Linked DNA regions of Drosophila melanogaster. The protein of the gene in region 2 interacts with the protein of the main gene of each other region in a pairwise test. Each region holds a gene or a part of one and is shown on either strand. Other genes may lie near its edges.

Region 1 (5,064 bases), on a different chromosome or scaffold from region 2:
TAAGTAAAGTCCTTATAATCCATTCTTAACCGTCCGCGAAATTATCGATATCCATACGTGTAACTATCGATAAATTAATGTTGATATTTAACAAGCAATAATAAATGTATTATGACCTTTTCTCAAAGTGATTTATTTGTTTTGGTCACTAATTAATAATTCAATAAGAATTTTACCAATATTTTTGAATAAAAAATTCATTAATTACAAATACTAATTTCTTTCTTAAGCGAATTTTAATTTTTAAACACCAAATACAAGAGTTCAAATATTTAAATTATTCCGCCAAGTGAGCATTTAAATCATTAAAGCATTAAAATGTATGCCATTAATTCGATAAATGTAACAATCGGTCTGTCGACCAAAGAGTAAACAAAATGTTAACGTAAGATCAACCAAATCCAAAGTTTGGGGTGAAAACATGACCAAGTCGGATTTCGTGCTGGGCGGAACGGCAGCGATGGGTGCGGTGGTGTTCACCAATCCCATCGATGTGGTCAAGACGCGGATGCAGCTGCAGGGAGAGTTGGCTGCCCGAGGAACCTATGTGAAGCCCTACAGGCATCTCCCCCAGGCCATGCTGCAGATAGTCCTCAACGACGGACTCCTTGCTTTGGAGAAGGGTCTCGCTCCGGCATTATGTTATCAATTTGTCCTCAACTCGGTCAGGCAAGTGCATTGTAAAGGACACTTGTTGCCATCCATAAACATCAAAATCTTTGAACTTTATACGAATATTAGAGGTAGATTTAAACAAAGTTTATATAAAAGTGGCCGTAAAATTATGCAATGCTAAGTAGTGTAATTACAAGCACCATGAATTAATGTGAAATGCATGCTTATCTTATCTAACACTGTGAAGTAATGGACATTTAAGATAAGTCGTTACGTTCATCATTGAAAATAGTTACCCTAAGCAAATTGCAGTGTAAATACCCTTTCCTTATGGTAGGCTAAGTGTATATTCGAACGCATTGGAGCTGGGATACTTGCAGAATGCGGATGGCTCCATATCCTTCTATCGGGGCATGTTCTTTGGAGCTCTGGGCGGCTGCACGGGCACCTATTTCGCCAGCCCCTTCTACATGGTGAGTAGATCCGCTAGAGCTTCCCATCTGATCTCCCTCCATTACAGATAAAGGCCCAACAGCATGCCCAGGCGGTTCAGTCCATTGCCGTAGGCTTTCAGCACAAGCATACTTCGATGATGGATGCCCTGCTGCATATTTACCGGACCAATGGCATTTCAGGATTCTGGCGCGCTGCTTTACCAAGCTTGAACCGAACGCTTGTGGCCTCCAGTGTACAGATCGGCACCTTTCCCAAAGCCAAGTCCCTTCTGAAGGATAAAGGCTGGATCACCCATCCGGTTCTCCTCTCCTTCTGTGCCGGCCTATCGTCGGGAACCCTTGTGGCAGTGGCCAATTCGCCCTTTGATGTGCTCACCACACGGATGTACAACCAGCCAGTGGATGAAAAGGGGCGTGGACTCATGTACAAGGGCTTGGTGGACTGTTTCACTAAAATCTGGAGAACCGAAGGGATCCATGGGATGTACAAGGGCTTTTGGCCCATATACTTTCGTAGTGCTCCACACACCACCTTGACATTTGTGTTTTTTGAAAAGTTGCTCCATTTGCGAGATCGTTATGTTTTCTCCCAGCGCAGAAACTGAAGAGTCCAGTCCTCATGGAGCCAACTAGATTACTGTAAATCCTCGCATACAATTGTTAAGTCCCACGATGTGACAATCCTAAAATTTATAATTTTATAAATAATAAAATTGTTCATCAAAAATGATCCCATGAGTTTACCATTGAATGCACGTCAACTGCTATAAGTTTTTTTTCTTATGTAATTTGCTGCATAACATATTTACCTTTCTAATAAAAGCTTAAAATAATTATTTGCTGTTTGCAAATATTTACTGTGAAAAAGAAAAAGCCGCCAGTATTGCAATTTTAGTATGACCTCTCCTTATCGATAGGCGGCGATAGATGCGAACAATAACGCATCATGTCTTCGATTGTCAATAGTCCATTTGGCACCGATAGGCGCAAGCACAAACTATCGACTGGCATCTGGAAAGTCGGCGGCGTCACATATTTTTGATTGACTATATATATTTAAAAACAATTTGCGCAAAATGGCCACTCAGGTGAAGCAGTTCTTAAACGGCTACAAGGATGACGTGAGCAAATCGCTGCGCGATGCTTCCAAGCCGTGGACCAAAGTCTTCGATACCGTGGAGGAGAAGACCGGCGTGGACCGGGTCAATATTTTCGTGGGTGAGTGTGGAATATCCTGGCGACGTCATCGCATGTCCTTCGCCGAAACGCCCATGTAACCTTCTGCTAGTTGACTGCGTAACCATTGAGATTAGCCTAGAGATGCAGTGGAATATTTCGGGATGCTTATAAATAGCAACCTGTTATATATAGCAATGTGTATGTGGCTGAATCAGGATGGTCGGGGGGGCTTAATAGCCGCCAGGTGACCAATTAACGAATTAAACAGACGACTTAAACGGCAAAGCCCAATTAAATAGTGTGTCTATATTATCACCGAGTGCCTGCAACCAATACACCTCAGTTTGTGAGCATGCGATGTGTGCGTGTAAGCGACTACGTAGACAGCTGGCGATGTGTGCGTCTGTTATCCACAAAAGTTTCATGTTTTGTGCTTTTCTTTGTTTACTTCAACGAAAGTACACTTTTTTTTGCCCAGTACGCGGTGAGCAATACATTTGGCGCATTCCATTGCCATATTCTCTAGACGAAGATCTGGAGAAAGTCCAGTTCGGCGGGGTCAAAAGGTCTGAATTATTGAGACGTGGCGCTGTCGGCACACGTGGAGCCAATCTACTCACTCACCTGTGTGCGTTGGTAGAGCTTTCAGTTCGTTCGTTCGGTGCTCACCGGAGTTACCGATGTGGCTCTGGGACTATATTATGCTAATCAGACAGCGACAGGAGACGCGGCGCAATGTCAGAGTTCCCTTGGTTTACCTCGGCATAGGTGAGAATGTGGTCATAATGGCAAAAGTAGCTATCTTTCAAAACCGAAGTCTATATACACTTGCAAAAATGACGGACGTTGATTCATCATACAAACATTTGGCCTCATTAGCTGTTCAACAGTTCGGCATACTTTAATAATCAAAACAAATTGTGTAAACAAATATATGCATATTAGGGAACAACCATTTATGGAGAATTCGCAATTCACATCAAATGATCTGATCGACTAAGGATATAGTTTCTGTGGCTTGTAATGAAACCCACCTTTTTGCAATGATGTTGCTCAAATTAAAGTACCCTCAGCCAGGGTATAAATATAATTAGCCGCCATCGAGCATGAATGACATCATAAATTTATGGCAAAACAACAGGCCGTAGTCCGCTCATCTGGGTGGGCAAAATGCAACTGGCCGGGATCAGAGGCAGGTCGAGACATCTACTGACAACAGCTAAGGGTTTATAATTAGCCAACGGCATGGGGCGGTTTAAAAACCCCAGGGATCCACGAAGGGGCGCCCTTGAAAGCTGTACGAGCACCTGGCACTGTGCCCTTGGAACAGTTAGTCTTGTAGCTAAAGTTTGTAAGTGTTAACTCCATCTGATCACCCTGCGCCCTGTGGAACCGCTCCTGCCCTTGGACCTGCTTATAGCCATAAGGGAAAATGCGCCACTAGGGCAATATCAATTGACCAACTAGATGGCGAACATGGCAGTCGAGGAATTAGAGAGCAAAATTGTCCAACTGTTCGTAGAGAACCCCCTCCTGCGCTACGGTAGAGCTCCAGCAGTGACTTAATGCTATTTACTAATAAGGTATTATATTTCATCATATGTAGGTGCTGTTGGTCTGTGCGCCATCTACCTGATCTTTGGCTGGGGCGCCCAACTACTGTGCAACATCATTGGGGTTCTGTACCCTGCATATATTTCCATCCATGCCATCGAGTCCAGCACAAAGCAGGACGACACCAAGTGGCTGATCTACTGGGTCACGTTTGGAATCTTCACCGTGATTGAATTCTTTTCGAGTCTGCTAACTTCGGTGATTCCCTTTTACTGGCTGCTGAAGGTGAGCTTTGCATTCTTCACATATAAGAATCTTCTTTTAAATGCTTCAACTCCACATGTAGTGTGCTTTCCTCATCTGGTGCATGCTGCCCACGGAACAGAATGGTTCTACCATCATCTACAACAAGCTGGTGCGACCCTACTTCCTGAAACATCACGAATGTGAGTAAATTCACCTCTTAGATATTGCAATTTTACTAAAAGGAGATCAATATTTGCACACAGCCGTTGACAGGATCATCGATGATGGCATGAAGAAAGCCGCTGGAGTGCTGAAGCATGACTAGAAGGCGAATGTACCGTAGCTCCGACCGCTTCTCGCTTATCCATGCATTTGGTTTTGGGCCTGGTCACCAACCTCACCTCGTATTGGTTACGTTTTGCAATAAATTTTAATTCTGTATTCATTTTGTTGTTGATAAGAGCACCAGTGTTCGCTGAACCAGAAGAAATCTCCGTTTGTTAAACGTAAAAACGAAAAGGAGGCTTTTATTGAGGCACAACTATATTTATGCGGTTGATTCCGCCTTTTCTGGCGACGCCTCCGCTTCAGCAGCTGTCCTCCGGTTCCGCCAGGCGGTCATGTAGGTGCGCGGGTGGATGGGCAGTAGTCCGGCAATTCCCAGGAGTTCTGCAGCCGGCGTGGACAAGTGTGCACCTTTGCCCAGCCAATAGCGAATTCTCTCCGTGTTCAGGGCCACCAGTCGTTCGTTGTAATCGTTGGGCAGGGGATCAAAGGAGCCCACCTGCTCGATGACAGGCTGGTGCTGGTTCTTGCGCCTCTAAACCGGAAAATACAATTACCAATTAAAAGTTTTAACCATTTTAATGGCCTAAAAGTACGCACCTCCATGACGACAATGTGATAAAAAGGCCGATTGGTGCATCCCAGGCGTACGAAACGTATGATTTTTGCCGACTTGGCGTAGAAACGACCAATGCCACTGGCTGGCGATAGAGACATCCCGATATTTTAT
Region 2 (5,126 bases):
CTTAGGAAATGTTATGGTTGGTGGGGAATTTCTTGAAATAAAAACTTTATTATTTTTGATATAATATTTAAACATATTTTGATGTATTGGCTTAAGTTAATAAGTTCGCATATAATTTGTGTAAGCCAGTCATTTATTTGAATTGCGATCAAGTGTGCAACCTTGGCGCACTGCCCCCCACTCGAGAACATGCTCTACGGCTGTTTAAACTTTGGAGATGGTTAATAAATTTATTTTGTTTATTTTCGGCCGGGTCACGCTTTCCCCAAATGACCCTCGTCATAAAACGCGCGAGAATCTCTGGGTAAATATAAATATAAGAATTGCACGCTTTGGTTTTTGTGCATGAAAAGTTTACTTCGCATTTCGGTTTCGGCCAATTGTTTTTCTTGGCCCTATCACCTTTCACTGCGAAATATGTCTAAACGAGAATGTTTTGTGAATCCATTAAGACGCAATAGAGAATTTTCCTATAGCTCGTAGAGCGTTCGGTGATGTCTCCGCAGCACTGGATTGGAAATGTATATATCTTTCTACTTGGCCACCTGATAGGCGAAACAGCTTTTCCCCTTCGAAAATCTCAAATTGTTCAATTCCGCTTCCAAGAATGCGGAACGGCCAGCAGGCGGTCAGGCAAAAGTTTTTAGGAGCCGAAACAGCTGTTCATTTGGCTGGTGACTGACTTGCTCTGCAATTAAAGCGATTTTTTTCGCGGAAGAAGGCCCTATTCGAATAGTTTGGATACACTCGAATTCTTGGGAGTAAATATTGAAGAACTTCTTCAAAATTCTCCTGCTCAGTTCTAAAACCAAAACAATGGGATTTACTTAGGTTCCGTTTCATATGTGTGTGAGTGTAAGCTTGTACTTGAGAACAAGTGCGTTTATTTTTAGCCGAGTATTGAATTAATTTTCGTACGGACTTGTAAAGGAGCTTACATTATTTTCGTAGAGCAACCTGGCAACCTGTTGAAGGGGCTTGCAACTCGAACCGCGTTCGCTGCCAGCATCGAGCACGTTGCACGTGGCAAGCAGCAATTGTGTGTTTACTCAATATTCTCGGCGTGCCGCAGATTGTGCCTTCCAGAAAGCAAAATAAACAAATAAAAGTTCCATGAAAAGGTATCATTTGTCAAGCGACAGCCGACAAATGAATACACATATGCATGTATGTATGTATGTATGTATGTCCTATGTACCCAACGACTTAGCGGCTTAAGTAGCTGCTCTAAATAATAAATTCAATTGTAATCAGAATCGTTTATGTAAATATTCAAATCGTCAATTTACCCGGACAGAGAGTGAGATAGAGAGAGTGTAAGAGTGTGACGTGGGGGGGGGGGGGGGTGGAATTGTCCTCCAATAATCCGCGAGGCAAGCAAAAGTCTGGGAGGGGGGGGGGTGGCAGGTGTAGATAAGCACCCCATTAAGACAACAATAAGCTCAACAAGTTGTTCTGGAAAACTGTCAATTAGAACCACCAACACGCACTGTGGCAGCAACAATTGTTCGAATGAAAACACAACATGCTGCATGTTGCACGCTCGAACATAGCCTTGCCATGGAATCGATGTTGCATCAGAGGTGTAGATGGGGGCTATTAGGAATTGCAGCGTAACTAAATAGTATTAGAACTTAAACGCAGAGCAGAGAACAAAGAAATGTGCACTCCGAAGCTGCGGAGTTCTCAAATAAAATGAAGCTAGCATTTTAGTAGAACTATTACTTGCTATTAAGTATGTACAATAATCTCAATAATAAGAACTAAATAATAATAATGAATTGGTTTGATGATGAAGCAAGCTCCTTGGGCAGTCATGAGCATACCAATGCAATTCTTTCGCTCTCGAAAGCGGCGCCTCTGTTTGAAGTCGCACTGCCTGTGAGTAGCGGCTGCAACGCAACATGTTCGATGGTTCGATGGTTCGAAGGTTCGATGCCTTCGGTTTTGGTTGGGCGGCGAGTGGGCTGCGCTAGCATCCGCTGGTCAGTCGCTCGCGGAGCGTCGTCGTGAACGGTCAGCCAGCGCGGCTAATAAGTAACCAACTGTAGTGACAGTGCGATAGTGACTCTGATCCGAACCCGAATCCCAGGCCCACAACAGATACGTCCAGCGTGTGGGCAGCCAGAACAGAGTGACAAGAATATCGGAGCCGACAACAACAGTAAACTGAAAGATAGAAAGAAAGAAAGAAAGGCCAACCTGCCGATTAAATTCCAATTGAGTGTTACGAGTTTTTTTTTCGAGTGAGTGCGGCGGTAAATATTTCGATCTTCTTCCCTTTTTTTTTTTTTTGCTGTGCCACCAACAGAAACCGAAAAATGCAAAAATTAAAAACCAATCAGTGAAAATCGCCAAAATTGCCAAAATATCAAATAGAAAAATATGGAAAATAGTTGAATCGAAGAAACGCAGACCGCAAAAATTTATAGAAAGAAAACAAACACACAACACACACACAAAGAAAAAACAAAAGGGGCAGACAGAAAGAAAGCGCTTTTATTATTTTATTTAACGATTTTTCTTCTTGCAATTTTTATTTTGCACACTTTGTTGTTGGGTCAGTCAGTTGGCGGCTTTCGCCACTTTACGAGCAACTTCCTTTTTTGGCCGGAGAAAAACCAGTCTGGCCAAGAGACCAAAAGACCCCTGGCCAAAAGACGTCGGTCGGTGGGCACCAAACACTGCGAATGTAAACAAAACAGCAGCAAACCGTATTTGTTTATGACTCGGCTTGGCCAGGATAAAGCCCAGAGACTTTGAGACCAACTAAATCCCACACCCCCAACCGCCAATCCCGCCCTCACCAAAAATATGATTTGCTAGCATTTCCCCCCATTCCCCGGCCGAGATTCTCAAGTGCGAGAGTTGCAAAAAAAAATGTGGTCCCCCCTCCCCCCTTTTATTGCCGCACCGCGTTGAAACGACACCCGGTGAAAGTTTCCCAGTCGCAACTTAGAACTCTCTTCATTTTCGGGTTTCTTTATTTTTTGCTTGATAAATGAGTCGCTGGCATAGCCCCCGGGGCGGTAAATCATCTCTGCTTGTGGCACTGACAATTTCACAAATTTATATATTTGCCACAACAACCGACCGAAACACTCACAGTCGAAAGTTTTCCACTTCGAGTGCAAATTTGACTGGCTTGGAAAAGTCCAGGCGAGCAAATTGGCCAGAGGTGTTGCCAACGAAAAAAAAAAAAAAAAATGAATTGGTAACGAAAACAATTGACGAAATCGGAAGTGACAGCATGATAGTTCAAGTTCAAACACGCATAATAACTTCATTGAAAACTGTAAACTTGAGAGTAAACAATAGTTTTCAAAGATTTCACGAAGTGTCTTCAGTTCAGCATATTAAATATACCCAAATACGGTTTCAAATTGACATAGATTAGTAATTTAACATAGGAACAGTTAAAAAAGTTAACCAGCTGGTGTGATAATATCTATGAAATTGTTGGTTTCTGGAACTTGAGAGATTCGCAAGTTCTAGCAAGCAGCGGTTGTTAATGCATATGAATACGAGACATCGAGCAATTTCGAAGATATTCCACGCCAGTTATCGCCCCCCCCGCCAGTAACTGGAGGCCAGCTCTAGCTCCCATTTTTAACTGGTTACCCCGCTCGAGAATTCACCATGTCGGCTCTCGGTTTTTTCCTTCGCTTTTCGCTTACTCCACACAACACAAATCGAATTGAATGGCAATCTGGAATATGCCAGGCAGATCCAATTGCATGCCACATATGCAGATGTAATGGGAGAGTTGGCCCACTCGCCACCCCCTTGTAAGCCCCCATCGAAACACCAACACACCCCCCCCCCCCCGGCCGCTTACAAAAATTAAGCCCCCTTAGCCGCCCCGCCAACTGTACCGCTGATCTGCTTGCCTCATTGCCGGTTAGAAAGCCAATGGAACGAGTTTCGTTGAGTGTGCAACTAATTTTCTAAATTGTTGTCGCTGCTGATCGTTGAGCGTGGCAAAAAAAAAGTAAATAAATAAAAAATACACACATTATTTATATGGCCAACGTCGCACAAAGAAATTATCTGTCACCAACATTGGTCATCAATTTTGATGGGTTTTCGGCGTCTAGAATAAGCCCTTTTATCACTGACGTTTTAATCAGATCTCTTCTTCAGAAGTATACAAAATCACGGTATGATCTTGCTTGAAGATGATTTCATTTTGCTAAAACGTGTTTTAATTCACTTTTAAATCATGAATCATAAATATAGGTATTTATGTGACTATTTTATATAGGGTAATACGATAATACAGAATCGTATATACGTACGTACTTTTGTAAAATAAAAAAAATTTAAAAACGGAATAATAAAATGTATATTTATGGAAATTTTTGAACGATGGCATATTTAAATAGATAAATAATTATGAGAGTGTGGGTGATAAGGCAAAGATTTTAGATTCAAAACCATCCATTCATCATTGCGAAGATCGAACTGTCATTTTTGCGATTGATTGATTGAATTTTAATAAAAGTCTTTGAAGTCGGACTTATTTATTATTTTTTTTTTTTATTGGGTTTTTCTTCTCTTGCGAGTGCGTCGTCATCATTTAATGGTGAAGATAGAAGAAGAATTATCCGAGCCCATAGAAGGCGAAGAAGAGGAAGAAGACAGGGCTAAAGAGACAGAGCGAGAAAGAGAGTAGGAGAAAGGGAGAGAGGGATAGAGAAATGTTAATGGATTAGGAAGCGAGCTCAAAAGGCAGCGTAGAAGAAGAATCGAATCTCGGCTACTTGCGACATTAGCCCTCTCCCTCCCACTCCCGCCCGATGAAGGCGGGCGCGAAAGAGAGGGGACGAGAGGGAGAGCGAGAGCGGAATTGAATGGCCAAAGGAAAGGTGAAAAGAGGCAACTTGGCTTAGACGATGATGATGACTGTTTCTTCTGTTTGTGTACGTATGTGTGTGTGTGTGTGCGGACAAACAGGTATCACGCACACACCTACAGACACACTCACACCTGTGCGGAATAACTAAGCAGCGACCCGATTTTCAACAGAGAGCCAGTGAGAGAGATAAGAAGAGAAGAAACAGAGCCAAGAATCCGATCCATGCCATGCGCCTAAAACTATTACAAATCTATAACAAATCTACCAC

The links.
Region 1: the proteins of mgl (region 2) and ReepB interact in a two-hybrid assay, tested with the Drosophila melanogaster proteins (one large-scale study listed by BioGRID).

What each region holds. Positions count from the first base shown.
Region 1 is NT_033778.4:14,168,435-14,173,498, forward strand, and holds ReepB (receptor expression enhancing protein B), read left to right. Parts: upstream 1-2,027; 5' UTR 2,028-2,146; coding exon 2,147-2,288; exon of another isoform or gene 2,289-2,483; intron 2,484-2,725; exon of another isoform or gene 2,726-2,929; coding exon of another isoform or gene 2,930-3,017; intron 3,018-3,354; exon of another isoform or gene 3,355-3,725; coding exon of another isoform or gene 3,726-3,792; intron 3,793-3,855; coding exon 3,856-4,088; intron 4,089-4,149; coding exon 4,150-4,249; intron 4,250-4,312; coding exon 4,313-4,374; 3' UTR 4,375-4,564; downstream 4,565-5,064. Other genes in the region: CG18324 (uncharacterized protein), read left to right, coding at 422-669, 953-1,088, 1,136-1,675; mRpS16 (mitochondrial ribosomal protein S16), read right to left, coding at 4,597-4,869, 4,935-5,051.
Region 2 is NC_004354.4:9,497,006-9,502,131, reverse strand, and holds the start of mgl (megalin), read left to right. Parts: upstream 1-2,002; 5' UTR 2,003-2,258; intron 2,259-5,126.